4 linked regions of the Anolis sagrei genome follow. The protein of the gene in region 3 purifies or fractionates together with the protein of the main gene of each other region. This does not show direct contact. Links are inferred from orthologs where the notes say so. Each region holds a gene or a part of one and is shown on either strand. Other genes may lie near its edges.

Region 1 (7,923 bases), about 190 Mb from region 3:
ACTTTTGCAGACATCCCCATTCTGTATGTTCCACTTTTTCCACTGTCGTCTCATAAGCAAACTTTTCTCAAGAACTCAAGAAAATCAAACATTTCAGTGTTTTCCTTGTGCATAAGGTCACAAACTGACTATGATGGTCATTTAGGAACAGGGGAAAAAAATCAAGAATAATGCAGCAGTCTTCATATAGGAACAACAAACGGGCGGTAACATGACATCAAAAAAATAACCTCCCCCTATAATATTAATAATAATAATAATAATAATAATAATTTTTATTTCTTACACGCCTCTCCCCATGGCTCAAGGAGGGTCACAACACAGGGCCGTTCCACACAGCCCTATATCCCAGAATATCAAGGCAGAAAATCCCAAAATATCTACTTTGAACTGGGTTATCTGAATCCACACTGCCATATAGTTCAGTTCAATGCAGATAGTGTGTGATTTTATTCAGCTGTGTGGAAGAGGCCTCCCAGGATTGCATAGCACTGTGCAAGGGCACTTAGATATGCTGTCAAACTGCATTACTTCTACATTGCGGATGGACCCTTTATTACAAATCATAGGATGCCTTGAAATGGAGCCAGATAATTATTACAAATCACAGGATTTGATGCGATGGAATTAAGGGCCTTCAAATCAATATAACTGTTTAGCACAAATACACCCTGAGCGACTTATTCTTCTCGTAAAGTAAAGGTAAGTCTAGTTGTGTCCGAATCTGGGAGGTGATGTTCATCTCCATTTCTAAGCCGAAGAGCTGGCATTGTCCAAAGACGCCTCCAAGGACATGTGGCCAGCATGACTGCATGGAGTGCCGTTACCTTCCTGAAAAAGTGCTGCCTGTTGATCTACTCACATTTGCATGTTTTCGAACTACAAGGTTGGCAGAATCTGGGGCTCACAGCAGGAGTTCACCCCACTCCCCGGATTTGAACCACAGATATTTTGTTCAGCAAGTTCAGCAGCTCCACAGTTTAACCCGCTGCAACACTGGAGGCTCCATATTCTTCTCGTGCAAGGTGTTCCCATACAAACCATGCCCTACGAGGAGCGGCTGAAGGAGCTGGGTATGTTTAATTTGGGGAAAAGAAGGCCAAGAGGGGACATGACAGCCATGTTTAAACATCTGAAAGACTGTCCATTGAGGGGGGGGGGGTGAGCTTATTTTCTGCTACCCTGGAGACTAAGGGCCCTTCCACACAGCTCAGAATATCAAGGCAGAAAATCCCACATTATCTGAGTGCGGACTAAGATAACTCAGTTCAAAGCAGATATTGTGGGATTTTTCTGGATATAGGAATGTGCAGAAGGGTCCTATGGGCCCTTCCACACAGCCCTCTACCCCAGAATATCAAGGCAGAGAATCCCACAATATCTGCTTTAACACTCAGATGATGTGGGATTTTCTGCCTTGATATTCTGGTTTATATGGCTGTGTGGAATGGCCCTTAGTTATCCGAGTCCACACTGCCATATATTACAGGGCCCTTCTACACTGCCCTATATTGGAGAATATCAAGACACTAAATCCCACAATATCTGCTTTGAATTGGGTTATCTAAGTCCACACTCAGATAATGTGGGATTTTCTGCCTTGATATTCTGGGTTATATGGCTGTGTGGAAGGGCCCTTAGTTACCTGAGTCCACAATGCCATATATTACAGGGCCCTTCTACATAGCCCTATATGGGAGAATATCAAGGAACTAAATCCCACAATATCTGCTTTGAATTGGGTTGTCTAACTCCACACTCAGATGTGGGATTTTTTGCCTTGGTATTCTGGGATATAGGGCTGTGTGGAAGGGCCCACAGTGCAGAGCAGATAATTTGGGATTTTATTCATTTGTGTGGAAGGGAGCGATGGGTTCAAATTGCAGGAAAGGGGATTCCACTTGAACATCAGGAACAACTTCCTGGCAGTGAGGCTACTTCCACACAGATTTATTTTATTTATTTATTTCACTTGTATACCGCTATTCTCAGCCATCAGGCAACTCAGAGCGGTTAACAACCAGTATCAACAACGCAGTACAAAATCATTAATCATTTAAAACAGTAATATCAATTAGCTAACATCAAAACATCAATACAACAATACAGCAAAACAACAATCCATCACGTCTCGTCAATAGAATCAGCACCCGATCTCGTTGTCCATTAATCCATATTCCAGTAATCAATCAATGGCACTGCTTAGTTAAAAGCCTGTTCAAAGAGCCAGGTCTTCACTCTCTTCCGGAATGCCAATAAGGAGGGGGCCGATCTAATGTCTGTAGGAAGGGTGTTCCACAGCCGGGGGGCCACTACTGAGAAGGCCCTGTCTCTCGTCCCCACCAGGCGTGCTTGTGAGGCCGGTGGGACCGAGAGCAGGGCCTCCCCAGACGATCTTAATGTCCTAACTGGTTCATAGGAGGAGATGTGTTCGGACAGATAGGTCGGGCCAGAACCATTTAGATAATGTGGGATGAATAAAATCCCACATTATCTGCAATGAACTGGACTATATGGCAATGTGGACTCGGATAACGCAGTTCAAAGGCGATATTGTGGGATTTTCTGCCTTGATATTCTGGGATATAGGGCTGGACTATATGGCAATGTGGACTCAGATAACGCAGTTCAAAGGCGATATTGTGGGATTTTCTGCCTTGATATTCTGGGATATAGGGCTGTGTGGAACAGAGAGCTGTTCAGCAGTGGAACTCTCTGCCTCGGAGTGTGGTGGAAGGATCCATGGAGGCTTTTAAGCAGAGGCTGGATGGCTATCTGTCGGGGCTTCTTTGATTGTGCTTTTCCTGCATGGCAGGGGGGTTGGACTGGATGGCCCGTGTGTTCCCTTCCCTCCCGCTTGGCCACTTACTTCTTCCCGTCGCTGCTGAAGAGCCCGAAGGCCGCCGGCAAAGAGGAGGAAGCGGTGGTGGGCGTCGCCTCTTGGCCCACCTCCGCCTGCGCATCCCCGGCCTGGTCGTTGTAGCCGACACTGTTAGCCGACATGTTCCCGTGAGAGTCGCTTCCCTTGCCGCTGCTTTCTCCCTGGGCCTCGCCTTCCCGCTGTTCCTTCCTTCCTTCCTTCCTTGCTTCCCTCACACAGACACAATCCGGCTCGTCCCGGAAGCTGACGGCAAGCAAGCAGCACTCCAATGTTGGTCACGTGCTCCTCGAAGGAGGGAGGGGGGGAGAAGTGGGAGGGGAAGAACGGCTGAATGGGATTTTCTCCAGCGCCGCCGTTGTCATGGGAACGCAAGGCCCTTCCCCCTCAATTTCCATAAGCTCCGCCCACTGTCACGAGGGGCTCCTCCTTTCCTCCTTAAGCGCCCAAAGGCAGTCACGAGCGCCAGGAAGGAAGGAAGGCGGTCCCGTTATCGCGCTCGCGCTCTTGTTGCCACGTAGGCAGAGCCCCCGACTCCAGGCCAGGCCTGGGCCAACTTGGGCCCTCCCTCCCTCCAGGTGTTTTGGACTTCCAACTTCCACCATTCCTAACAGCCTCAGGCAGGGCCGTAGCCAGAAAAAAAATTCGGGAGGGGTTGAAATTTGGGGGGGGGGGGTTTGAAAATTTCACGGGGGGGGGTGTTCAGAAGCGGCCCTAGGTAATTTTCAAAGTAAGCAAACAGTATTTTGGAGCCCCCCCCCCCCCCCTAACCAATCACTGATATATATTTTCTGTTCGTTGTGGGAGTTCTGTGTGCCATATTTGATTCAGTTCCATCAATGGTGGAGTTCAGAATGCTCTTTGATTTAGGTGAACTATACATCCCAGTAACTACAACTCGCTTATGTCAAGGTCTATTTTCCCCCAAGAGCGCCTCAAGAGCGCCCCTGGGCTAAATCAACTATACTGCAAATGCTTACTTTGCGTAATGGGTGAGCCGCCCCTGGGGGTGTTGAAACCTGCCTCCTAGCTCATGCTGAAGCAAAGAGCACAGCAGGGGGCAGAGCAACCTTCAATAGCCCGCAGCTCCGCCCCTGTCAACCACCTCCACCAAGTCTGGCCTCCTTAATGAGAGCATTCAACACCCCCCCCCCCCAACTTGGTTGCTTCACTACATCCACTATTGCTGCAGGTAATGACAGTGTGAATAAATTGTCAATATTTGCTTCAGATAGTGCTTACAGTTCTGGAGGGACTCTTAATTTTTTGCATCTCATAGACTTAGCATGGGGATTTGGTTAACCAGTCAAAATTCATGAGTAAACCAGGGTTTTTTTTAAAAAAAATCTGAAACATTTCAGGGGGGGTTTGAACACCTAAAACCACCCCCTCGCTACAGGCCTGGCCTCAGGCCCTTCCTTTTTCCTCCTCAGCCACTTAAACTGTCTCCCCAGAAGCATGGTTTTGGATTTCTAAGGCTGAGAAAGTGTGACTTGATCAAAGTAACTCGGTGAGTTTCCATAGACATTTAAACCCTGGTCTCCAGAGTCATAGGCTATAAGGCAGTGGTTTTCAACCTGGGGTCCCCAGATGTTTTTGGCCTACAACTCCCAGAAATCCCAGCCAGTTTACCAGCTGTTATGATTTCTGGCAGTTGAAGGCCAAAACATCTGGGGGCCCAGGTTGAGAACCACTGCTATAAGGATTTGGTGAAAAATCCAGAACCATGTTGCCAGGGGAAATACTCACTGTCTGGCTGTTGAAGATTTTGTATGTATACAATCTTCTATCTATATAAATAAAAATGTAATGTCCGTTTGTGGGATTAATAGAACTCAAAAACCACTGGATGAATTGACACCAAATTTGGACACAATGCACCTAATAACCCAATATATGTTCTTCACTCAAAAATTGATTTTGTCATTGTTGTTGTTCATTCGTTCAGTCGTCTCCGATTCTTCGTGACCTCATGGACCAATCCACGCCAGAGCTCCTTGTCGGCCGTCATCACCCCCAGCTCCTTCAAGGTCAGTCCAGTCACTTCAAGGATGCCATCCATCCATCTTGCCCTTGGTCGGCCCTTTTGCCTTCCACTTTCCCCAGCATAGGGAGTTGTAATTACTGGGATTTATAGTTCACCTACAATCAAAGAGCATTCTGAACTCCACCAATGATGGAACTGAACCAAACTTGGCACACAGAACTCCCTTGACCAACAGAAAATGCTGGGGAAAATGGAAAGAAAAAGGAAGAGGGGCCGACCAAGGACAAGATGGATGGATGGTATCCTTGGGTTTGGTGGGCATTGACCTTGAGGTTGGGAGTTGTAGTTCACCAACATCCAGAGAGCATTGTGGACTCAAACAATGATGAATCTGGACCAAACTTGGCATGAATATTCCATATGCCCAAATATGAACACAGATGGAGTTTGGAGGAAATAGACCTTGACATTTGGAATTTGTAGTTACTGGGATTTATAGTTCACTACAATTAAAGAGCATTTTGAAACCCACAAATGACAGAAATGGCGCAAACTTCCCACACAGAACCCCCATGACCAACAGAAAATACTTAAGGCCATCCAGTCCAACTCTCTTCTCCAGGGCAAGAAAATGTAATCAAAGTCCTCCTGACAAAGAGCCATCCAGCCATACAGATAAATAGATAGATAGATAGATCCAGAGAGCACTGTGGACTCAGATAGATAGAGAGAGAGAGAGAGAGAGAGAGATGTTATTCACACACACACAGAGATATAGTATCATAGATTTGAAAGGGACCCTTAAAGAAGGACAATGATATCTTGCATGTTCCAGGGTGGGCAAACCAGACACTCTCCACATCAACACTGACAAAGAAACAGCAAGAAATACTGTTTACCCACAAGCATAAAGAAATTGCATATATTAGAAACCAACACTTTCTCATTACTTTATTTTCCAGATCAACAGACGGCCACAGCAACGCATGGCAGGGGACAGCTAGTACTATATATATCTATATATAGTGTATGTACAAAGCTGGGTTGCAGCTAAACATAAAAAAAACCAATATGATGGCAAGAAGAATGATTGACAACTGGGAAATAGAGGGAGAAAACGTGGAGGCAGTGACAGACTTTGTATTTCTAGGTGCAAAGATTACTGCAGATGCAGACTGCAGCCGGGAAATCAGGAGACACTTCCTTCTTGGGAGGAGAGCAATGACAAATCTTGATAAAATTGTGAAGAGTAGAGACATCACACTGGCAACAAAGATCCACATGGTCAAAGCAATGGTATTCCCCATAGTCACCTACAGACGTGAGAGCTGGATCATAGGGAAGGCTGAGTGAATGAAGATAGATGCTTTTGAACTATGTTGGAGGAAAATTCTGAGAGTGCCTTGGACCGCGAGAAGGTCCAACCAGTCCTTACTTCAAGAAATAAAGCCTGACTGCTCATTGGAGGGCAGGATAATAGAGGCCAAGATGAAGTATTTTGGCAACATCATGAGAAGAAAGGAAAGCTTAGAGAAGACAATTATGCTGGGGGGAAAGGAAGGAAAAAGGAAGAGGGGCCGACCAAGTGCAAGATGGATGGATGGTATCCTTGAAGTGTCTGGATTGACCTTGAAGGAGCTGGGGGTGGTGAAGGCCGACAGGGAGCTCTGGCATGGGCTGGTCCATGAGGTCACAAAGTCAGAAACGACCGAACAACAACATATATCTATATATTTTTAAAAATGTAATGTTCGTTTGTGGGATTAACAACTCAAAAACCACTGCATTAATTGACACCAAATTTGGACACGACATCTATCAGGCCAACAAGTGACCATCACTCATAAAGACACTGAAAAACACAGCATAAGAGACCTTAAAAAACAAAAAACACATTACAACACATGCACAAAACCACATATATACATAAACACACATATACACAAACATATACACACACATATACACACACACAAAACATACACAGACTGGGCCACAGCAATGCGCGGCAGGGAATGGCTAGTATATACATGTGTGTGTTTGTGTATATATATATATATATACACACACATGCATACACTATATATTTTATGTATACAAAATATACTACGTATTTTGATTATATAACCTCTGGTGGCACAGTGGGTTAAACTGCTGACCTGCTGAACTTGCTGATCGAAATGTCGCTGATTCGAATCCAGGGAGTGGGGTGAGCTCCCGCTGTTAGCCCCAGCTTCTGCCAACCTAGCAGTTCAAAAACATGCAAATATGAGTAGATCTATAGGTACCGCTCCGGCGGGTAACAGCACTCCATGCAGTCATGCTGGCCACATGACCTAGGAGGTGTCTACGGATAACGCCGGCTCTTCGGCTTAGAAATGGAGGTGAGCACCAACCCCCAGAGTCAGACACGACTGGACTTAATGTCAGGGGGAAACCTTTACCTTTAAGCTATCATCAAAATATCTCTCCCTTATGCATTGCCCTGCATAAGGGAGAGATATTGTGGGTTGAAGGGAAGACTCGTTTATTGGGCATTGTCTTTCTTCATCCATGCAGGGGGGGCTGTGTGGAGGCCTCTTCCACACAGCTGAATAAAATCCCACATTATCTGAGGCTTCTCTCATGTCCCCGCATGAGGATCTGGAGCTGATAGAGGGAGCTCATCCATGCTCTCCCCGAATTCGAACCTCCGACCTGTTGGTCTTCAGTCCTGCCAACACAGGGGTTTAACCCACTGCGCTACCAGGGGCTCCTAGAGCTCAGGTTGCACTGTATTAGGTGCTCTGTGCTCTTCTCCACACTCGCATGACGTTTACTCCACTTTGTAGCCCCAACTCTGGGGGCTGGTGCTCATCTCCATTTCTAAGCCAAAGAGCCGGCGTTGTCCATAGACACCTCCAAGGTCATGTGGCTGGCATGACTGCATAGAGCATCATTACCTTCCTGCCAGAGTGGTACCCATTGTTCTACTCAGATTTGCATGTTTTTGAACTTCGAGGTTGGCAGAAGCTGGGGCTGACAGTGGAAGCTCACCCCGCTCCCTGGATTCGAATCG
Region 2 (7,380 bases), on a different chromosome or scaffold from region 3:
CAGATGCACCCTAGAGCTCTGGGAGACTGTATGGCATCGGGCAAGTCACACACTCAGCCTCAGAGGAAGGCAAACCCTCTCCAAATACTTATTTCCAAGCAAAGTCTGCGTTAAGGTTCACTTAAATTAGGAAGCATCTACGCCATAGAATCAAGTGTAAATCAGGCCTTGGCAAACTTGGGCCCTCCAGGTGTTTTGGACTTCAACTCCCACAGTTCCTAACAGCCTCAGACCCTTTCCTTTTTCCCTCAGCTGCTTGAGCAGAAAGGAAAGAAAGGAAGGGGCCTGAGGCTGTTAGGAATTGTGTGAGTTGAAGACCAAAACACCTGGAGGGCCCAAGTTTGCCCATGCCTGGCGCAGATGCACCGGAGGACAATACTTCCATAGACTCTTACCTCAGCAGTATACTTCCACGCCCTCTACCTCCACCTGGGCCTGTGATGGTCAAGAGCCTACCCTGAGCAGGCCTGAAAAAGGAACACAAACATACACACATAAAATTACTATGATATACAAATAGGTAAAGACACACATATAATTGGTATTACATTATATATAAACCAACACACACAATATAATTATTATCGTATATATACAATTGTTACATTAGTAGTAAGTAGTACCCTGCTTCCTTGTTATAAAGAAGAATCGGGCCCCTTTGCACAATTGAAGCTTGTGCGCCAGCTGCGACCGTACCTCGTGAAGTCAGATCTGGCCTTAACTCACCTCCTGATTGGATTATTGCAATGCGCTCTACGTGGGGCTGCCCTTGAAGACGGCCTGGAAATTTCATTTGGTCCAACGGGCAGCAGCCAGATTGGTAACTGGAGCAAATTACAGGGAGTGGTCAACCCTCCTATTTAAAGAGCTCCACTGGCTGCCGTTCATTTTCCGGTCTCAATTCAAAGTGCAGGTCCTTATCTACAAAGCCCTGGACAGTTTGGGACCTGCCTACCTGCATTTCCATTCACAAACTCATGCAATCTCTTTGATTGTCCAGAGAGGCCCTTCTCTCGCTCCTGCCCCCTTCGCAGGTGCGACTGGTGGGGACGAGGGAGAGGGCCTTTTCAGTGGTGACCCCTCGACACTGAAATTCGCTCCCTAAGGATATTAGGCAAGCCCCCATATTGGCAGTCTTTAGGAGGAGCTTGAAAACTTGGTTGTTCCAATGTGCCTTCCCTGAATGAAAGAGCAATAATTCCCTGATCTGACCAATTCCCTGCAAAAGGTCCTCTGAAGCACTTTATTCTACCTGTTGGGCAATCAATCCTACCTCACCCTCTAAAACAGGGGCCCTCAAACTTTTTAAACAGAGGGCCAGGTCACAGTCTTTCAAACTGTTGGAGGGCCGGATTATAATTTGAAAAAAAACGAATGAATTCCTATGCACACCGCACATATTTATTTATTTCGTATACTTCTACCCCGCCCTTCTCAACCCCCGAGGGAGACTCAGGGCGGCTTACAAAATGGCACAATTCGATGCCTACACAATAATACAATAAATGTATAAAAACAGCAGTTAAGCAGTTAAACAATTAAAACAACTATATATATCACAATCAATAGCCAATCTCAAGCACAGCGTTCACCAACTCAGAGTCCATACTTCGTTCCACATTGTCTATTCCTATCCGTCATCACAGTCCTTTATTTATCTGCCAGAGTGCCCAAACGCCTGGTCCCACGTCCATGTTTTTAATTTCTTTCTAAAGGAGGGATGTCGCTGATCTAATTTCCCCGGGGAGTGAATTCCAGATGAGGGGCCACCACTGAGAAGGCACTGAGAAGGACATATCCTATTTGTAGTGCAAAAAACACTTAAAAACAATACAATCATCAAAATGAAGAACAATTTTAACAAATATAAGCTTATTAGTATTTTAATGGGAAGTGTGGGCCTGCTTTTGCCTGATGAGATAGGATTGTTGTTGTTGTAGTCATTTCAGACTTAGGTTGACCCTGTGCAAGGGCCGGGTAAATGACCTTGGAGGGCCGTATCCGGCCCCCGGGCCTTAGTTTGAGGAACCCTGCTCTAAAACCTCTATTCAGACTTATTTTATTGCTGCCACGCCCAGTGTTTTAAATTTTAAATCTATTAGAATAGGCCCTGCCCTCAGTGTAGGATTTTTGTGTTTTTAAGTGCTGTGTTTTATTGCTGATATGTTATTTATTATGGTTTTGTATTGTAGTTTTATTTTATTGCTGTATTGGTTTATACGGATGCATTGTATTGTCGGGCCTGGCCTCATGTAAGCCGCCCTGAGTCCCTTGGGGAGATAGTGGCGGGGTATAAATAAAGATTATTATTATTATTATTATTATTATTATTATCTACACTGCCATATAGTAGTTTCTGAATGCAGCTGAGCCGAACACAGAAACCGCAGTGTAGATTCACATAATCCGGTTTAAAGTGATTAATCTGGATTATATGGAAGTTCCTCACTGAGGGCCTTTCCACACAGCCCTATTTCCCAGTATCATCATCTACACTGCCATATAATAGTTTGTGAATGCAGCTGAACCGAACCGCAGTGTAGATTCACATAATCCGGTTTAAAGTGGTTAATCTGGATTATATGGCAGTTCCTTACTGAGGGCCCTTCCACACAGCCCTATATCCCAGAATATCAAGGCAGAAAATCCCACAATATCTGCTTTGAACTGGGTTATCCGAGTCCACACTCAGATAATGCGGGATTTCCTGCCTTGCTGTTTCTGGCTGTGTGGAAGGGCCCTGAAAAAGCACCCTTGGGCTGGTTCCCTCACCTCGCATCGTTGGGGTCCCGCCCCGTGAGCTTGCGGATGTTCTCGTCGACGTGCTTGAGGCTCTCCTTGGCCTTCTCGAGCTGCTCCTGCAGGGCCCGCACGGCCACCGCCATCTCGCCTGATACTACTACTCCTAGTACCAGGACAGGCGCGGCCTACCCTGCCTGGGCCCAGCAGAAAGCGCGGTCGGGTAAGCGAAGAGCTGGGGAGCAGAGGGGGAAGTTACCCCGCCTACACGTGTAACGTGGCTCCCTCAAAGAATCCACCAATCGGGAACCAGCACATTAAAACGACATCACGTTTGTCCAATCGGTACTCGGAATCTCTCACGAGTCGCCCGCCTCTGAGATTGAGCGGCAGCTCGGTGCACCAATCAAGTTTCCCGTTTCTGCCACTCAACGGTTCACGTTGGTGGAGTGACGTCGCTTTCAGCCACTTAGAAAGAATCCTGTTGGGTTCCTTCTGCCAATCGCTAAGTACCAGAGTTGAATGACACAATAAGCAGCCAACCGAATGGCAAGCGGCACAACCATATGGCCAATCCGTGCTTGGAGGTAGGTTCTCTCTCTGTATTATATTCCCCGCCCTACTATTTTCGCGCCTCTGTGGGTTAGGAGGCGTTCTTGAGTGCAAGGGGCGGGGCTAAGGCATTTCTGAGAAAGGAATGTGGAGGCTAACCAGTGAATTTAAGAGCATAAGACACAATAAAATCAAACAATATATTTAATCCCAGTAATCTCTGTTCTTTTACTGACTGATTACCCTAATTGCACCATATCTTGGTTGATCTTGGAGATTGAGGTTAAGCAGGGTCAGCCCTAGTTAGTGTCTGAATGGGAGACCACCAATAAATACCAGGTGCTCAGGGTCAGTGGTTCCCAAACCTTTTCCATAGAACTACAACACAACACATAATTGGTTTAATCAAAATATATTCTGAATCATTTACGCGATTTGAGATATGCCTCCCAATTTCCTATTTGGTACCTTGTTTTTGAGTAAATTTTATTGTGACATTTTCTAAATATTATCCCAATATCTTTTATCTCAAAACTATAGAAGAAATAAAAAAATCAATGTGGGATCAACATGACAAATTGACTATAGATGAGTCACTCTTATAAAATGCTGAAATGTGTATGAGGTAACTACCTAAGGTTACAGGTTCGAATTCGAGGAGCGGTGTGAGCTTCCGCTGTCCGCCCCAGCTTCTGTCAACCTAGCAGTTTGAAAACATGCAAATGTGAATAGATTAATAGGGAAGGTAATGGTGCTCCATGCAATCATGCAGGCCACATGACCTTGGAGGTGTCTACGGACAATGCCGGCTCTTCGACTTAGAAATGGGAGATGAGCACCAACTCCAGAGTCAGACACGACTGGACTTAATGTCAGGGGAAAACCTTTACCTTTTTTTTACCTAATACAAATAGCTGTAGCACAAAATAGCTACTACATAGACTGTAAATCAATCGGTGACTTCAGAGATGTATATACACTGTAGAATTAATGCGGTTTGACACTATTTTGGCTGCTATAACTCAAAGCTAGGGAATCATGGAAGTTGTGGGCCTTTTTGCCTAATCCTAAATAAACGATCACCAGATAAGAATCTGATTTTGCAAGTAATTGTGTCTTAAACTCATACACTGCTGCTCTTCCAGCATTCAGTCATGCCATATACTGTGTACTGACAGTCTCTAATCTAATTATCAACCTAGGGATCATAACCAGATACAGTGAAGACATCTGTCCTTGCGCTTTGCTACTCTGCTGCTGAATACGCATGTCCAGTATGGAATACATCTCACCATGTTCAAGCAGTAGATGTCTTAATGAGACATGCCACATTATCACAGGAAGTCTATGCCCAACACTGCTGGAGAATTATACTGTTTAGCCGGTATTGCATCACCTGATATTTATTTATTTCAGATATTTGTACCCTGCCCTTCTCAACCTCCCCCCCCCCGCCCCCCCCCCCCCCCCGGGGAAGTAACAGCCAGTAATAAAAGGAACAAGGCATTGGCATCTCAGGCCCATCCTCTGTTTGGATATCAGCCAGCATGCCAATGTCTTAAATCAAGAAACAGCTTTCAAAGATCTACAGAGATATTTGCAGGAACACCTCAGCAAGCGGAGTCCAAAAGTACCAGGCTAAAACACGGGACATCAATCAGTGGTTGATACCAGATGAGAAACTCCCTCCTGGGCACACAGAAGACTGGGCGACTTGGAAGGCGCTGAAAAGACTGCACTTCGGCATCATGAGATGCAACACCAACCTTAAGAAATGTTGCTACAGGGTGGAGTCCACAACATGGGAGTGTGGAGAAGAGCAAACCACAGACCACTTACTACAATGCAGTCTGAGTACTGCCACATGCACAATGGAGGACCTTCTCACAGCGACATTAGAGGCACTCCAATGGCCAGCTTCTGGTCAAAGGACATTTAGCATAATGCCAAGGGTTTTTTTAACTTTGTATTTTTAAATGCATATTAAATGCACAACCTTTTCACACTTGAGGCACTTGAAGTGGCCAGCTTCTGGTCAAAGGAAATCTAGCATAATGCTAAGTTTTAAACTTTGTTTTTTTTAAACTTTGTGTATTCTCAATTTGCTTCTGACACGATAAATACATCTGATTATCGGATAGTTGTGTATTTCCCTAGAGTTAACCTAGTAGGACTCTGACTCAATAAAACTTACTCTACTGATTTGTGGTGGTGCAAGTTTTTTATTTATTTGCTGCAACAGATTTCAAATTGGTAGATTTATGGAAATTATGTAGTTGATGTTGTTGTCTGAAGCTGGGGCTCCTAAAAATGTTGAGGTTCAGAAATGACCTGTAGTTACTCCGCTGAGCTTCCGAAGCCAGAAAAAGACTCTTAGCTGGGCAACATTGACAAACCCCCTTATTTTCCCACCACCTGATCAACTCACAGAAAGCTGAAGCCAAAGATTATGTAAGGATTATGTAGGTAAGTGCAGGGCGTGCTCCTATCCCACTCCGAGAAAGTCAAACCCATCATTTTGGAATAACAATCCATGTATTGTTCAATCAAGAAAACCTTCCCCTCTGCCAGCTGATACCAATCAGCAAACATTGTTTCCCCAAAATAATCCCTTTCCAGGCTGATGAGCTCCTTCAGGCAGAAGGGGGTGGCTGGCGTGTTTACAGAAGACCAGCTCCAGAATTCCTCAAATTAAAAGGTTTATCAAGTTTCCCGCCATACTATATACCAATCGCAAACTGTAAACCTTGCAACCATTTATATACTTTTGAAGCAATAAGACTGTGGATTGTAATTTGTATTGATCACCCTAAATGTCTATACCAGGGGTCCCCAAACTAAAGCCCATGGACTGGATGCAAAACAAACTTCAGCCTTCCAGAGGTTTTGGACTTCAACTCCCACCATTCCTAATAACACCAGGCCTTTTCCTTTTCCAAGTGACTGAGGAGAAAAAAAGGAAAGGCCCAGAGGCTGTTAGGAATGGTGGGAGTTGAAGTCCAAAACAGCTGGAGGGAAGGCCATAGTCTTCTTGACTATGGAGGCATGAGCTGTGGCAGTCAGAGTGGTCAGGCTGCATTCATTCTACAGTGTAGACCAGGCCTGGGCAAACTAGGGCCCTCCCTCCAGGGTTTTTGGACTTCAATTCCCACCATTCCCAACAGCCTCAGGCCCCTTTTGAGGGCCTGGGCAAACTTGGGCCCTCCCTCCAGGGTTTTGGACTCCAATTCCCACCATTCCCAAAAGCCTCAGCACCCCTCTGAGGGCCTGGGGTTTTTGGACTTCAATTCCCACCATTCCCAACAGCCTCAGGCCCCTTCTGAAGGCCTGGAGGTTTTGGACTTCAATTCCCACCATTCCCAACAACCTCAGGCCCCTTCTGAGGGCCTGGGCAAACTTGGGCCCTCCCTCCAGGGTTTTTGGACTTCAATTCCCATAATTCCCAACAGCCTCAGGCTCCTTCTGAGGGCCTGGGCAAACTTGGACTCCAGGGTTTTGGACTCCAATTTCCACCATTCCCAAAAGCCTCAGGCCCCCTCTGAGGGCCTGGGGTTTTTGGACTTCAATTCCCACCATTCCCAACAACCTCAGGCCTCTTCTGAGGGCCTGGGCAAACTTGGGCCCTCCCTCCAGGGTTTTTGGACTTCAATTCCCACCATTCCCAACAGCCTCAGGCCGCTTCTGAGGGGAAAAAGGAAAGGGCCTGAGGCTGTTAGGAATGGTGGGAACTGAAGTCCAAAACCCTTGGAGGGAGGGCCCAAGTTGGCCCAGGCCTGCTTAGCAGCTCCTCCTCCTCCTGCCGGGCCTTCGGGAGGCGCTGGGCTTGGAGGAGGAGAAGGAAGGCGGGGAGGAAGCGTCGCGGCGGAGGAGCGGGCCTTGCGTCTCCCAGGGAGGCCCGGCATGAACAAGGCGGAGATGGCGGACGAGGCCCTCTTCCTGCTGCTCCACAACGAGATGGTGGCGGGCCTCTACCGCGCCGCCGAGCAGGGAGACGGGGTGAGTCAGTCCCGCATGAGACCCATCTCCCTTCGGCCTGGCTACACCGCTTTCACTGCCTTGGCTCAAGGCTACAATCCAGATATAGGTGTC
Region 3 (7,283 bases):
CGAATTTGTTAACAGGTACTAAAACACACACTCACACAAGCTGCGGGCCTATGGATTAAACGTGGGATTTTTTGCACTTTGATTGATCTGCTGTCTGGCTCTGAACTGATCTGTTCACTAAATGAATACATTGTATCTCTATGTCTGTGCCACTGTGAAATGGGGGGGGGGGTGATACATTTTCCTTGGCTAGTTAATTCTAGGCCCCCAAAATCTCTCTTCCTGCGGAAAAAAAACCTGTGCATATGGGAGAAAACACTAATAAGGGGCTCAGAAGCAATTTCAGTAGCTTCCTGGTACGTTGTCTCAATCCTTTCCAATCCTAGGAGTTTCACCTGGGATGAATCTAAACTGTAAAATTAATGCCATTTGATACCACTTAGAATCACAGAGTTGGAAGAGACCTCATGGGCCATTCAGTCCAACCCCCTGCCAAGAAGCAGGAAATAACACTCAAAGCAGTAAAATCTCATTCGAAGCATCCCCGACAGATGGCCATCCAGATTCTGTTTAAAAGCCTCCAAAGAAGGAGCCTCCACCACTGCTGTGGCTAGATGCTATGGAAACATGGGATTTATAACTTGAGGAGGGATAAGCACTGTTTGGCAGGGTTAAAGTCCTTGTAAAACTATAGCTTTGATGATCCCACGGCATTGAGCCAGGGCAGTTAAAGTGATGTCAAAGTGCATTAATTCTAGTGTATAGCAGGAGTGAGCAAACTCTGGCCCTCCGGGTGTTTTGGACTTCAACTCTCACAATTCCTTATTGTGGGAGTTGAAGTCCAAAACTCCTGGAGGGCCAAAGTTTGCCCATGGTGTAGATGCTCCTCAGATGTTTGAGGAGAGAGCAGTCTTCCCTCCCCTCCCCAGATGCTTTCTCCCATCCTGGACATTCAACAGATATATAAATCTCACTTGCCTAGTTTCCAACAGACCTCTCAAGATCTGAAGATGCCTGCCATAGGTGTGGGTGAAACGTCAGGAGAGAATGCTTCTGGAACATGGCCATACAGCCCGGAAAACTCATAGCAACCCAGTCCTACCTCCTAAGCGGGATGGAGCTTCCCTGCTGCTCTTTCCTCACAGATGAGCTCCAAAACTGTGGCCTGCGTGGCCCCTCACCCAGAGCCCACTCAGTAAAGTAGTCACAGAGGAACAGGCACAGGCACGGCTAGCAAGGCAATGCAAGACAGCTCTACCTACAGGACTCCTGTTACAAGACTGAGAAGGCAGCATTTCCGTCCAAGCACCAAACACGTCCCATTCCTCACCTATAGATCCCACTCTCCAAATGCATGAGAGGCCAGGCCTTTGGCAGCACCCCTCCCTCCTTTCCTCCCCTCCTTGCCCCTCAGGGGCCTCCTCAGCCTGGATCTGAACTGAAGCATGCGGTTCCTCTGTCTCCTCTCCTCCCGCGCCCACCTCGGCCGCCACCAAACCAGCAATTAAGACAGCATCTTTCGCAGTGACATTTCGGGGTTGTCATGGTAATGAGAGTGCGAGTTGAAAGGCGGGGAAGTACTGGGGTTGGGTTGGGGGGGGGGAGAAGAAGGGAAGGAAGGAAATCAAAGTGCAGGAGCTGCAAAGTTGGTTGGGGAAGGGGACTGTGGCGGGTCCTCAGATAACTCGGGGCACAGAGTCAGGCCAGTGGAGGGCAGAGCACCCTCTTTCCTGTAACACAGACATGGGCCAACGTGGGCCCTCCAGGTATTTTGGACTTCAACTCCCACCATTCCTAACAGACTCAGGCCCCTTCCTTTCCCCCCTCAGCCGCTTAAGCGGCTGAGGGGGAAAAGGAAGGGGCCTGAGGCTGTTAGGAATGATAGAAGTCGAAGTCCAAAACATCTGGAAGGCCAAAGCTTGCCCATTCCTGCTCGAACACTACCTAATACAGGCCCAGAATCCACATCTTCCACCAAGTCAGGGCGGAGTGGCCTATGTTCCAGGTCAATGCAATCGTTGTGGGGGAAGTTCTTCTTCTGAACCATGCCCACCTTTGATTCAAATCCCTTGATGGTTTCGCCCACGAATGAATCCCCCAGGGGTTCATCATCAAAGCTTGAGGGCAAGGGACGCGTGTTCTATGTTGGAGCCCGTCGTCCACTTTGTCACTATTTGTTTGTTTATTGATGAAGCGCCGCGGGAAGGGAAGAGGGGGGCGCTGCGGAGTGGAGCCTGTGGGGAGGCTGCCAGGTGCGGCGGAGTTGACTGTGCGGAGACTCTCCTCCAAACGAGAGCCGCACTGCTCTGTCCTCTCGGTGGCTGGACGGATGAAGCGCCCGGTAGAGCCCAGCCCGCTCTTGGAGGGTCAAAGGCGAGACGGGCCTTTGCAGACCAACTTGGGCGCCTTTCCGGCCCTCGACAGACTTCGCAACCTCCCAGGATGCCTGCCCTAGATGCAGGCGAAACGTCAGGAGAGAATGCTTCTGGGACGTGGCCATACAGCCCGACAAACTCACAGCAACCCAGTGAACACGCGTTGAAGGCGCGCCCCTTTCTTCCACAGAGGCGCGCGGGTGCCTGAGGGGAGGCAGCCGGCGAATGAAGTCCCCAATTCCCTCACACCCGCCGCCCAAAACCCACAGGTTGCCGCTTTTTCCGAAAGCGCCGCGGCAACTTCGCCAAAGCGACACGCTTCCCGCCCTCTTCCCTCGCGAATTCCCCTTCCACTGCCGCGGTCTCGAGAGAGAGAGTCCCCGGACGGAAGGCAAGCGCGAGACGGCCCCCACGGCCCCCACCCCGCGAGCGCACGAGCGCGCTCGCCCCGCTAAAACGCCCGCTTCCTCCCGCGCGCTGCCCGAGGCTCACCTGCAGCGCTGCTCCACCGGTGGAAGGACTGGGCTGGGCTGGGCTGGGCTGGGCTGAGGGGCGCGAGGGGCCCTGGGCTGCCCTCCTCCTTAGTCTCGCCGCGGACCCCGCGCTTCCCGTCCGAGGCCTGCCTGGGGGTCGGCGGAGGGAGGCGTGGCGTCCGAGGCGGGAGACGGAGCCGAGCGGCCGGGCTGCTCCGCGGCTCCGCGCAAGTTGAGCATCTCAGTGGAGTTGCGAGAGGGAAAGTTAGGCAGGAGAGGCGGCGCAAGGGGCCGCCCAGGAGGGGCGTGGCCAGCCCGCCTCACGTCACCGGGAACTTTTAGCCCCGCCCACCGCCTGGGCCAGCTGAGTCACACGTTGAGCATCCTCAGCCGGGATTCGGGAGGTTTGGTCCACCACGTGGGACGCCTTTGCCCTCGGCTGGGACGCCAACTTTGTTTCAATCACAACATCATTTTAATTCAATGGATTTCGAGCATAATGTTGTATGTGTTTAAAGCATTATTTATTTATTAATCGTATCAGGAGCGAAACAATGTATTTGTTTGTTGTTCATTCATTCAGTCGTCTCCAACTCTTCGTGACCTCATGGACCAGCCGTCATCACCCCCAGCTCCTTCAAGGTCAGTCCAGTCACTTCAAGGATGCCATCCCTGTATTAGAGAAAACACAAAATTTAAAAATGTCCTTTGACCAGTAGTTGGACACTTGGAGTGCCTCTGGTGTTAGGTCCTCCATTGTACATGTGCCAGGGCCCAGGTTGCATTGCAGTAGGTGGTCTGTGGTTTGCTCTTCTCCACAGTCACATGTCGCGGACTCCACTCTGTAGCCCCATTTCTTAAGGTTGGCTCTGCATCTCATGGTTTATTTATTTATAGTGTCAGGAGCAACCAGACATTTGTATTACATTTTTAACAAAACAAACAAACAGACAAAACACAAAGTTTGCAAGCTTGGTAGTTGATTCAATGTCCTTTGACCAGTATCTGGCCACTTGGAATGCCTCTGGTGTTGCTGCAAGAAGGTCCTTCATTGTGCATATGCCAGGGCACAGGTTGTATTATAATAGGTGGTCAGTGGTTTGCTCTTCTCCACACTCACATGTCGTGGATTCCACTTTGCAGCCCCATTTCTTAAGGTTGGCTCTGTAGCTCGTGGTGCCAGAGTGCAGTCTGTTCAGTGCCTTCCAAGTCGCCCAGTCTTCTGTGTGCCCAGGAGGGAGTCTCTCATTTGGTATCAGCCATCGATTGAGGTTCTGTGTTTGAGCCTGCCACTTTTGGACTCTCACTTGCTGAGGTGTTCCAGCGAGTGTCTCTGTAGATCTTAGAAAACTATTTTTTGATTTAAGTTGTTGGAGTGCTGGCTGATGTCCAAACAGGGGGTGGGCCGGAGGTGTCACTGCCTAGGTCCTTTCATTATTGGCTGCTACTTCCCTCTGGATGTTAGGTAATGCAATACCGACTAGACTGTAATTTCTCTAGTGGTGTAGTGTGCAGACAGCCTGTGATAATGCGGCATATCTCATTAAGAGCCACATCTACTGTTTTAGCGTGGTGAGATGTGTTCCACACTAGGCATGCATACTCAGCAGCAGAGTAGCATAGCGCAAGGGCAGATATCTTCACTGTATCTGGTTGTGATCCCCAGGTTGTGCCAGTCAGCTTTTGTATGATATTGTTTCTAGTGCTCACTTTTTGCTTGATATTCAGGCAGTGCTTCTTGTAGGTCAGAGCTCGGTCCAGAGTGACTCCCAGATATTTAGGTGTGTTGCAATACTCCAGTGGGATTCCTTCCCAGGTAATCCTAGAGCTTGAGATGCTTCTCAATGTTTAAGGCATTGAATAATTGTCATATGTAAGCCCCCTGGGGTAGAGAAAGGTGGGGTATAAACAGGGTAAATAAATAAATAAATAAACAGCATTATTAAAAAATATTGGGCATGAAATTTCTAACAGGCTGTGTGTATATCAAACAGGAATGAATTTGGGTTCCTGCACAAACTTTGTTTCATGCACAAAAGTATTACATACTGTGTACAAAATTACTTCTAGGGTATGTATATATGAGCCCCTGGTGGCGCAGTGGGTTAAAGCGCTGAGCTGCTGAACTTGCTGACCAAAAGGTCAGTGGTTCAAATCTGGAGAGTGGGGTGAGCTCCCACTTTTAGCCCCAGCTTCTGTCAATCTAGCAATTTGAAAACATGCAAATGTGAATAGATCAATAGGTACCACTTTGGGGGGAAGGTAGCAGTGCTCCATGCAGTCATGTCGGCCACATGACCTAGGAGGCATCTATGGGCAACACCGGCTCTTTGGCTTAGAAATGGAGATGGGCATCACCTTTCAGAGTCGGACGCGACTTGACTTAATGTCAAGGGGAAACCTTTACCTTTATATATGGAACAAATGGATTTTATTTCACTCACAAACTTTGTTTTATACTCAAAAACTGTTTAAATATTGTGCATGAAATGACTTTCAAGGTATGTGTGTATGAAACATAAATGGGTTTTGTGTTTAGCCTTGGGTCCCATTCCCAAAAGATCTCATTGTGTATTTGTGAGTACATAAAACATCCAACTTAGAGTATTCTAAAACCGCAGTGCAGAATTCCTCAAAGAATAAGAACAAATATGCCACTTTCCTGCACATAGACTGTGTGTCAGTCTGGTTCTATATTGCCTTCTTTATTTTGTTGTGAGGGAATCAATGATAGAGCATCATATTTAATCATAGAATCATAGAGTTGGAAGAGACCTTGTGGGTCATCTAGTCCAACACCCTGCCACGAAGCAGGAAAATCGCATTCAAAGCACCCCTGACAGATGGCCATCCAGCCTCTGCTCAAAAGCCTCCTAAGAAGGAGCCTCCACCACACTCCTTCCTTCTTGGTGGCCTACAGAGAGTCCCAGAACCATGAAAATTGATGCAATTGTTGTCAGTCCCTATTTTAGATTAACAACCTGTTGAATAACTTCCAGCGTGATTTCTCTGTCCAGCCAGAGGCTAATGCAAGAGGAATAGATGAATACCATAGTTCTCTTCTTCTCTCCTTAATAGCTCACTTCTTCAATGTATACAAGGCCATGGCTAAGGATGCAGTGACTTGAAATATTTTGAATTTGAAATATCATGGCTTAGCTGTAAGATCATGGTCATGGGGTTCACAGCATATCTCAGAGGGACACTGTTCATTGTAGAGTGCTTTCCATGCCCAAAGCCCCAGGTCTGGCCCAATGTATTTGGCTGCCTAAGGCAAAGGGCACTCTGCTTCTCCATTGTACTTTTAAGTGGTGGCTTGTGTTCTCCTAAATGGTGGACTGGCTTATGCTGTTGTTCTGTGAGCCAGTGCCTGGTAGGTTTCCTGGAAAGAACATAAAATAAAAAGTTACAGATGACACCATGTAACACGATGTTTGTTCCTGGGTTATAAACATTATTTCCTAATTGGTTCTATCATAAAACAAGGAAAAAGTTTATTAAACTGCAAAAATTCTGTGGGACACCCTGCAGCACATTTTGCTATGGCTTTTCAATGAATAACTCATAGAGTCTCAACCAATTCAACCTAGTTTGTGGCAGCCAAAAAAAAAAGTTTCTTGAGTATAACAGCTACTTTCAAAGTAAATACTGCACAATTAAACAGGAAATAACACTTTCAAACCAGGAACATTTTTTCCAAATTTTGTTACATAGTATAATGGGTACAAATATATTACAAAAGCATATTGGGAAAAACATAAATTGCCAGACCTCCAGATAGTTTGGAAAGGCATTGAGCTACATAGCTGTTAAGTCCTATTCAGTACTGGTGACAGGACAACATCCATGTTACCAGATTGTTTTTTGTTTATTTACATATGCCAAGCAAGCTGCATATTATTCAAAACTCTATCTTCTAGCAAAGGGGAACAGTGATGGAGGTGCTACCTTTGCTTCCTCCACACTATCTGTATTTTTGCCCAAAGCTGGTATGGCAACCGCCATTATGGTAGGGTTAGCCATTAATTCTTTGTAAGTTGCACAGCATTTCTTGAAGCGATAACAGGATCAGTGTCTCGGGTTTAACCACAGGTGTCATTGTAATTGGGATGTGACCAGTGCTGAGACTATTGTATATAGGTTGGAGTAACCCTAGGTTAGTTTGATGAGAGTTTAATGAGGGAATGAGTTTGATGGATTGTAAGAGAAGAGAGTTTGTTGTGCATACTGTGTTAGTATTTGTACTGTTTGTACTATTGCTGCAACTGAAGAAAGAAAAGCCTTCCAGTTGAAAAGAACAGCTTTGTGTCTGTGTTGTTCTTGTGTTCCTGAGGAGACATAAGAACCAAATTAGGGAGCCAAATACCTTCACAGCAAGAAGGTATTTGGCTCCCTAACAGGAGTGAAGTGTCTCTTCCACTGTACATCAGGGATTTCATGCAGTTTTGTACACATTACATTCTTGTCATCTCCAAGTAGAACTTGGAAGAACTCT
Region 4 (8,060 bases), on a different chromosome or scaffold from region 3:
TTTTGTCTCTTGAGAGCATGGTCTCTCGTTCCTCTGCCTTTTCCAAACCCAACTTGTACATCTGGCAACTCTTGCTACATGTATTGCTGGAGTCTACTATGTTACTTTTAAAGAAGTCTGCTTATTTTGTCTCTTGGTAGTATGATTTAAAGGCAAATATATATTTAAGGAAGAATAGATGTTTCTGGGCAACTACAAAAAAAAAAAAAACCACTTCTGAAACTCTGCTATATACATATATGTTTTGTGCATTGGCATATCTTTGTCCCTAACCGTTCAAAGAGATGTTTAGGATATCAGTTTAACAGCTGAGAAACCTAATTGCCTTGCATGAATGCCATTTTCCCAAAAGATTATGGCATCATTATTCAAATGGTTATGACTTCTAACAAGGTCATGCCTTTCCAAAGATCATAAAATCTCCAAAAGGGTAAGGAGATTTCAGTTTTCCAAAATGCATTACCCCACAGGATCCGTGGCCATGATTTGTGTGAATACTTTTTTGCCTGGCTTGTTGTGGTTGCAGGTTCAGCACAGGGATGAAAGTGAATGGTTGAATTGGTATCAAGGCAGGAAGTGGCAGGCAAATTGCTTTTTTGAACTAGGCCTTTCCCTCCTTGCTGCCTCTCCTTCCATCCCAGTGGATAATAGGGTTCTAACTACTTTGCCTTTGCCTTTCAGGCATTTGAATTTGAGTTTTTTCTGCCCTTGGCAATTTTGGCATGAATTTCTCAGCAGAGCATAATGCAGGAATGGGGAAAATCCACCTCATGGGACATATAAGGCCCACAAATTCATTTGGTCTGGCCTGGCACAGAGAAGGACACCTCTCCCAGTCCACTCTCTGTTAAGTTGTATTTCTGGCATTGCAGAGGGATTGGCTGGTGTCAAGATGTTATCGAGCAATTGAGAATGGCTATGGATAGTGAGATCCAAGCCACTGTGAGTTTAGCCTGGTGAGAAAATAAGCCAAAACTCCAGAATGAATCTCACCAAGTTGAAGCAGCTATAAGGCCGTGATTTACATACTGCTTTGTATCTCCTCTCTCTCTTTATGATTGGCTGCCTTTCTCCCGAGGGGGGGGGGGGGGTTAAACCCCCTTCCACATTCCATCATTGCCAAAAGGCAAAAACCCGCAAAACAGCAAGACTGCGAAAAGTGAACTGCAAAGTAGCGAGGGAACACTGTAGTGATATAATATACTAATATTGTGCTATGGTAATAAGTCAGAGCCCCCCATTGATTGTCTTTTTGGGCTCCTCCCTCACAAATACACTTTCCCCCCACTCCTATCTCATCCAGAGTTTTATCATTTTATCTTGTGTATTTGGCCTGCTCATTGTGTTTGACTTTCCATTATGTTACTTTGCATTGCTTATTTTATCTTTTTACATTATGTATTTTATCATGATGTAATTTTTTGTTGTTTTGTATTTTATTTTGCTGTATTGTATTTTTGGGTTTGGCCTCATGTGAGCTGCCCCGAGTCCCCTTTGGGGAGATGGTGGTGGGTATAAATAAAGTTTATTATTATTATTTAAAACACAACAAGATGAGTCCAAAGCAGACAAGGTCACTCTGCTGGCTGTTGTATTGGATCACACCTCGGACACTTCCCAAGTGTCTAGGACTGTGTGATGTATTGGTGAATAATGTGTGCACATCCCAGTAAGGTGGCCTTCTGCAGCTGGCAGGTGGTAATTTTGTCAGCACTTATTGTGTTTAAGTGCAGGCCAGGGTCTTTAGGCACTGCACCCAGTGTGCCGATCACCACTGGAACCACTTTGACTGGCTTATGCCAGTCTTTGCAGTTTGATCTTTAAATCCTCGCATCGTGTCAGCTTTTCCAGTTGTTTCTCTTCAATCCTGCTGTCAACTGGGATTGCAACATCGACAATCCATACTTTGTTTTTTTAACACAATTGTAAAGGTCAGGAGTATTATGCTCCAAAACTCTGTCTGTCTGAACCCGGAAGTCCCAGAGGAGTTTGGCGTGTTCATTCTCTGTAACTTTTTCCGGCTTGTGATCCCACTAGTTCTTTGTTGCAGGCATATGGTATTTGTGGCACAAGTTCCAATGAATCATCTGAGCAACGGTGAGGATGTGATCTATTGTTTCATCTGCTTCCTTGCAGAGTCTACATTTGGGATCTGTTGTCGACTTTTCAATTCTGGCTTTGATGGCATTGGTTCGAATGGCTTGTTCTTGGGCTGCCAGAATCAGACCCTCCATCTTCTTTTTCAAAGTTCCATTTGTGAGCCACAGCCATGTTTTTTCTTTGTCAGTTTGGCTCTCACTTTTTCCCAGGAACTGTCCATGGAGAGCCTTCTTTTGCCAGTTTTCTCTTCTGCTCTGGATTGTGTTTTTACAGTATTCACTCTTTCTCAAAACTCTATCTCAATTCGGAAGTCCCAGAGGAGTTTGATGTGTTAATTTTCTGTAACTTTTTCCTGCTTGTGATCCTACCAGTTCTTTGTCGCAGGCAGATGGTATTTGTGGCACAGGTTCCAGTGAATCATCTGAGCAATGGTGTTATGCCTCTGCTTGTAGTCTGTCTAAGATAATTATTATTACATATTACAAGTAATATGTAAATAATAATAATAAGTTTATTATTATTATTTACATATTACTTGTAAGCCACTTGGAGTCCCTTTCAAGGTGAGAAGGGTGGCATATAAATTTCGTAAATAAATAAAATTAATTAATGGAATAATTTTACAATTTATAATCCAAAGCCATGTCTGGGTTGTTGTAGGTTTTTTTGGGCTATATGGCCATGTTCTAGAAGCATCCTCTCCTGACTTTTCGCCTGCATCTATGGCAAGCATCCTGAGAGGTAGTGAGGTCTGTTGGAACTAGGAAAATGGGTTTACATATCTGTGGAATGACCAGGGTGAGACAAAGGACTTTTGTTTGCTGGGGCTAGATGTGAATGTTTCAGCTGATCACCTTGATTAGCATTCAATGGCTTAGAAGTGCCCGGGGGGAATCCCTTGCTGAGAGTGATTTTATGTGCCTGTTTGTTTCCCCTCTGTTGTTTTGCTGTTGTGATTTTTGAGTCCTTTAATACTGGTAGCCAGATTTTGTTCATTTTCATGGTTTCTTCCTTTCTGTTGAAATTGTCCACATGCTTGTGGACTTCAATGGCTTCTCTGTGTAGTCTGACATGGTGGTTGTGAGAGTGGTCCAGCATTTTTGTGTTCTCAAATAAAATGCTGTGTCCAGGTTGGTTCATCAGGTGCTCTGCTATGGCTGATTTCTCTGGCTGACGTAGTCTGCAGTGCCTTTCATGTTCCTTGATTCTTGTTTGGGTGATGCTGCTTTTGGTGTTCCCGATGTAGACTTGTCCACAGCTGCATGTGGACAAAGCACGTTGGGCGGGGACAAGAGACAGGGCCTTCTCAGTAGTGGCCCCTCGGCTATGGAACACACTCCCTAGGGAAATCTGATCTGCTCCCTCCCTCTTGACGTTTCGGAAGCAAGTTAAAACGTGGCTATTCGAGCAAGCGTTTACAAATACAGAGTAACTAATATAGGAAATCGAATGACCTGACAATGGAATTGGACAATGCTTGAGAATAATGAGACGCTGACGATGTTGCTTTTATTGCTTTTGTGATGTCTTATACTGTTCAATGTTTTTTATATCATGTGTTTTATGTATACTGATTTGTTGGAAACCGCCTTGAGACGGCAATTGGCTGAGAAAGGCGATATACAAATACAGTAAATAAAATAAATAAATAAATAAAGGTATACGGTAGACTCCTGCAGAAGTGTCCTTTGCTGAACGTAGCATTTGTTGGATTTTCTTTGTGGGTCAAAGCCAGGTCCTTTTTCTTTCTCTAGAAAGGAATTTATTTGGCTCGAAAAAGATCTTGGAGTCCTCGTGGACAACAAGTTAAACATGAGCCAACAATGTGATGTGGCGGCAAAAAAAGCCAATGGGATTTTGGCCTACATCAATAGGAGCATAGTGTCTAGATCTAGGGAAGTCATGCTACCCCTCTATTCTGCTTTGGTTAGACCACACCTGGAATATTGTGTCCAATTCTGGGCACCACAATTCAAGAGAGATATTGACAAGCTGGAATGTGTCCAGAGGAGGACAACTAAAATGATCAAGGGCCTGGAGAACAAGCCCTATGAGGAGCGGCTTAAGGAGCTGGGCATGTTTAGCCTGAAGAAGAGAAGGCTGAGAGGAGATATGATAGCCATGTATAAAATATGTGAGAGGAAGCCACAGGGAGGAGGGAGCAAGCTTGTTTGGGAAGCTTGCTTCCCTGGAGACTAGGACGCGGAACAATGACTTCAAACTACAAGAAAGGAGGTTCCATCTGAACATGAGGAAGAACTTCCTGACTGTGAGAGCCGTTCAGCAGTGGTACTCTCTGCCCCGGAGTGTGGTGGAGGCTCCTTCTTTGGAAGCTTTTAAACAGAGGCTGGACGGCCATCTGTCAGGGGTGATTTGAATGCAATATTCCTGCTTCTTGGCAGGGGGTTGGACTGGATGGCCCATGAGGTCTCTTCCAACTCTTTGATTCTATGATTCTATTTTGTTTATTCACATTATGCCATGAATTCATATGGAATTGGCTCCAGGAGCTCAGGCTCTTTGCCGCCGGTCCTCACAAAATGTGGTTGAGCAGGCTGTGTCCTTTTTTCATCCTCGGCTCCTTCCATTGCGTCACTTCTGCAACCAGCCGCCAGATGGCGCTGAGGTGCTCTCATCCAAGATGCTGCGCGACAGAGCTTTGCGTGCGACGTCGGGAGGGCCCGGCTTGGTCGGCGCGAGGGGGAAAGGGGGCGGGGCCCCGAGGCGTGCGTGGTGACGCGCGCGCCCCGCTTGGCCCCGCCCCTTGCCGGAGCGCGGCAGCGGTGGTTGCAGGCTGAGTGGTTGCTGACGGAGGAGGAGGAGGAGGAGGAGGAGGAGAGGCACCTGAGGCGTAGGATCCCTCTCTCGGGCCCTTTCCCCTTCAGGATGTCTTCGGCGCCGGACGCGGCCTCCGGGGACGAGCTGAAGCAAGCCAAGGAGATGGAGGACGCGGAGAAGTACTCCTTCATGTCCACGCTCACCAAGGCGCCCAAGAAGGTGAGCGAGCGAGGGAGGGAGGGAGGGCCGGGATCACCTCAGGCCTCAAAGTCGCGCCCTCTGGAGGGGCCAAGGAACCCCTTCGGGGCAGAGGAACTCTGCACGCGCTCAGGGGAGCACTTGCCTTGGTCAGCACTCGGGGAATAGATAGATAGATAGATAGATAGATAGATAGAGGAGGCGGAGGAGAAAGAGATTTCTGCCCTGTAGAAGGAAATAATGCGGGCTTGACGCCACTTGAACTGCTATGGAATCATGGGAGATGTAGTTTTACAAGTTCTTTAGGGAATCCTAAGAGACCACAATGGCCACAAGCCAACCCCCTGCCGTGTGGGAGAAGCACAATCAAAGCAACCCCGACAGATGGTCATGCAGCAAAGAAGTATCCTTTCATGTCCATACTCACCAAGGTGCCCAAGAAGATGAGGGCGCCTTGTACACTCTGAGCATGTACAGAGTTCCTCTCTCGTCCAGCCACATTTCAAAAGCCATCCAACCTCACTCTGAGACAGAGAGTTCCACTGCTGAACAGCTCTTACAGCAAGTGTGAGCAAACTTTGGCCCTCCGGGTGTTTTGGACTTCAACTCCCACAATTCCTAACAGCCGGTAGGCTCATGCCTGTCTTACACTCAGGAAGTTCTTCCTAATGTTCAGCTGGAATCTCCATTCCTGTCATTTGAATCTATTGCTCCTCTTTCTTTCAAATATTTGAACATGGTTATCCTGTCTCCTTTCAACCTTATCTTCCTCACCAAACTACAACTCCCAGAATTCCAGGGCAGTTTTTTTTTCGTGCCAGGAGCAACTTGCGAAACTGCAAGTCGCTTCTGGTGTGAAAGAATTGGCTGTGTGCAAGGATGTTGCCGAGGGGATGCTGGGATGTTTTACCATCCTGTGGGAGGCATCTTTCATGTCCCCACATGAGAAGCTGGAGCTGATAGACAGGAGCTCGCCCCGCTCCTTGGATCTGAACCGCTGACCTTTCGGTCAGCAGTCCTGCCGGCACAGGGGTTTAATCCATTGCTCCACCGGGGGTTCCTCTCCAGGGCAGTTAAAATGGGGACGCTGAGACATTTTACCATCCTGTGGGAAGCTTCTCTCATATTCTCACAAGAAGCTGGAGCTGACAGACAGGAGCTCACCCCACTCCTTGGATTCGAAACGCAGACCTTTCGGTCAGCAGTCCTGCCAGCACAGGGGTTTAATCCATTGCGCCACCAGGCAGTTAAAATTGTGTTAGACTGCATTAAGTTTACAGATAAATGTGGTGCTGTCTGTCAGGTGTTTTGGCTGAAAGCATCTACACTATAGAATAAATGCAGTTGGGCATTCCTTTAACGACCACAGCTTAGTACTATGGAGTCCTGCGAGTTGTAGTTTGGGAAGGCACTAGAAACATTTGGTAGAGAAGGCTAAATATCTTGTAAAACTACAAGCATTTAGCCATCGTAGTTAAAGTGGTGTCAAACTAAATTTCTTCTGAAGTGTAGATGCATCCCAAGAGAGGTGTTACAGCTCAAAGGGAGTCAGTGTTAAGACACACTTTCCTGGTGTGTCAGGTGAACGGTTCCTTGCTGCCCGAAGCTTAACTGACTCTTAAGATCATTATCCCTGTTCCTCTCTGTGGAAGGTATTTCCGCCTAGATGTCTGTAAAGAGGCCTGGCTAGATGTGATCCAAGCCTTGTAGCTGTCCTGGGTTATGACGATTTCCCTTGATTCATGCCACAGGCTAGGAAGAATGTCGAGGCCAGTGGGCACAGGTGATCCGGAAACCAGGTTTGCTTTCAGACTGCTCTGCAGAAGGAGGTCCTTCCCCTTCCCGTTGGTGCTCTGCCTGTTCTCAGGAATGTGGGTATTTGTGCTGTGGCATGTGAGCCTCTAAGGGCCATTATGCAAGCTATAAAAGTGGGTTGCAGGTTATTCCGTAGCAGTAAGTGTCTTGCGTCTATTGCAGAGACCTGGATGTGCTTCTCTATCAGTAGACGATTGATTTCACTTCTGAATAAGTCTACAAAGTCCCTTGCTTGACTTGTGTGAAGGCTGCACCTGCTAACAGCCTAAAAGGGATCTGTGCTATGAAGAACTTATTCTTAAATCTGCTCTAGCTGGTATCCTTAATCCAAGGTCTTCTCGGGAAAGGGTCTTCTCGGTGGTGGCCCCCCGACTCTGGAACTCACTTCCCAAGGACATCAGACATGGCCCAACTCTGGCAGTCTTTAGGAGGAGCCTGAAAACGTGGTTGTTCCAGTGTGCTTTCCCAGAATAAGGAAAACTCTCAGCAATATGCCCTCAAATGCACTTTACTATGGATTTAGGACTGACTGCGTTCCCTCATCTCTCTTTGAAAAATTTTTATCCCAGTTATATCCTACCTTGGTCATGCCCAGCATTATTTTTTAAATTTTAATTATCACATTTGGCCAAGCCATAGATTTTTTTTAAAATGCTTGTGTGTTACTGTTATTGTTTATTGTTTATTTTTTTGTTTATGTGATTTATATTAATTGTTTTGTATTTATTGTTTTTGTTATTGCTTCTGTTTACTGATGTACTTTGGGCTTGGCCTCATGTAAGCCGCACCGAGTCCCTTGGGGAGATGGTGGCGGGGTATAAATAAAATATTATTATTATTATTCTCTAGATTCTTCCAGTTCTATTTAACATAAATTAATAAACAATTGTTTCTTTGAGTTCTGCCTGGTTTGCTTTCCCCAAAATTACCTTTGTGAGGCCCCATAGTTGTAATAATTGTTGTTAGTGAATCTGAACTCAAGAATTCTGACTTCTAGCCAGATAGATGCAGTCAAAATTCTCCATTTAGATTTATCATAGGACCTCCTTCAGCACAAAGCATGGCGTTCTTTTCAGGTTTATCTTGTCTGGGTTCAAATTTAAATTCAGGTTCTGTAGTGTGCAGATCAAAAACTGAGACCTATTGGACGTTTTCTTGCGGTAATTACG

Evidence for each region.
Region 1: the proteins of CAMKV (region 3) and AP3B1 purify together in Homo sapiens (affinity purification with mass spectrometry; 3 studies listed by BioGRID and IntAct, counting the BioPlex papers as one, with this or other methods). This does not show direct contact. The link is inferred for Anolis sagrei from reciprocal best matches to the Homo sapiens genes CAMKV and AP3B1.
Region 2: the proteins of CAMKV (region 3) and PNN purify together in Homo sapiens (affinity purification with mass spectrometry; 3 studies listed by BioGRID and IntAct, counting the BioPlex papers as one, with this or other methods). This does not show direct contact. The link is inferred for Anolis sagrei from reciprocal best matches to the Homo sapiens genes CAMKV and PNN.
Region 4: the proteins of CAMKV (region 3) and AHCYL1 purify together in Homo sapiens (affinity purification with mass spectrometry; 3 studies listed by BioGRID and IntAct, counting the BioPlex papers as one, with this or other methods). This does not show direct contact. The link is inferred for Anolis sagrei from reciprocal best matches to the Homo sapiens genes CAMKV and AHCYL1.

The regions. Positions count from the first base shown.
Region 1 is NC_090022.1:265,418,206-265,426,128, forward strand, and holds the start of AP3B1 (AP-3 complex subunit beta-1), read right to left. Parts: upstream 3,220-7,923; 5' UTR 3,004-3,219; coding exon 2,870-3,003; intron 1-2,869. UniProt on the Homo sapiens protein: Subunit of non-clathrin- and clathrin-associated adaptor protein complex 3 (AP-3) that plays a role in protein sorting in the late-Golgi/trans-Golgi network (TGN) and/or endosomes.
Region 2 is NC_090021.1:303,574,964-303,582,343, reverse strand, and holds the start of PNN (pinin), read right to left. Parts: upstream 3,011-7,380; 5' UTR 2,886-3,010; coding exon 2,773-2,885; intron 468-2,772; coding exon 396-467; intron 1-395. Other genes in the region: TRAPPC6B (trafficking protein particle complex subunit 6B), read left to right, coding at 7,192-7,287. UniProt on the Homo sapiens protein: Transcriptional activator binding to the E-box 1 core sequence of the E-cadherin promoter gene; the core-binding sequence is 5'CAGGTG-3'. Capable of reversing CTBP1-mediated transcription repression.
Region 3 is NC_090022.1:75,026,784-75,034,066, reverse strand, and holds the start of CAMKV (caM kinase-like vesicle-associated protein), read right to left. Parts: upstream 3,086-7,283; 5' UTR 2,808-3,085; intron 1-2,807. UniProt on the Homo sapiens protein: Does not appear to have detectable kinase activity.
Region 4 is NC_090024.1:183,980,662-183,988,721, reverse strand, and holds the start of AHCYL1 (S-adenosylhomocysteine hydrolase-like protein 1), read left to right. Parts: upstream 1-4,849; 5' UTR 4,850-4,986; coding exon 4,987-5,097; intron 5,098-8,060. UniProt on the Homo sapiens protein: Multifaceted cellular regulator which coordinates several essential cellular functions including regulation of epithelial HCO3(-) and fluid secretion, mRNA processing and DNA replication.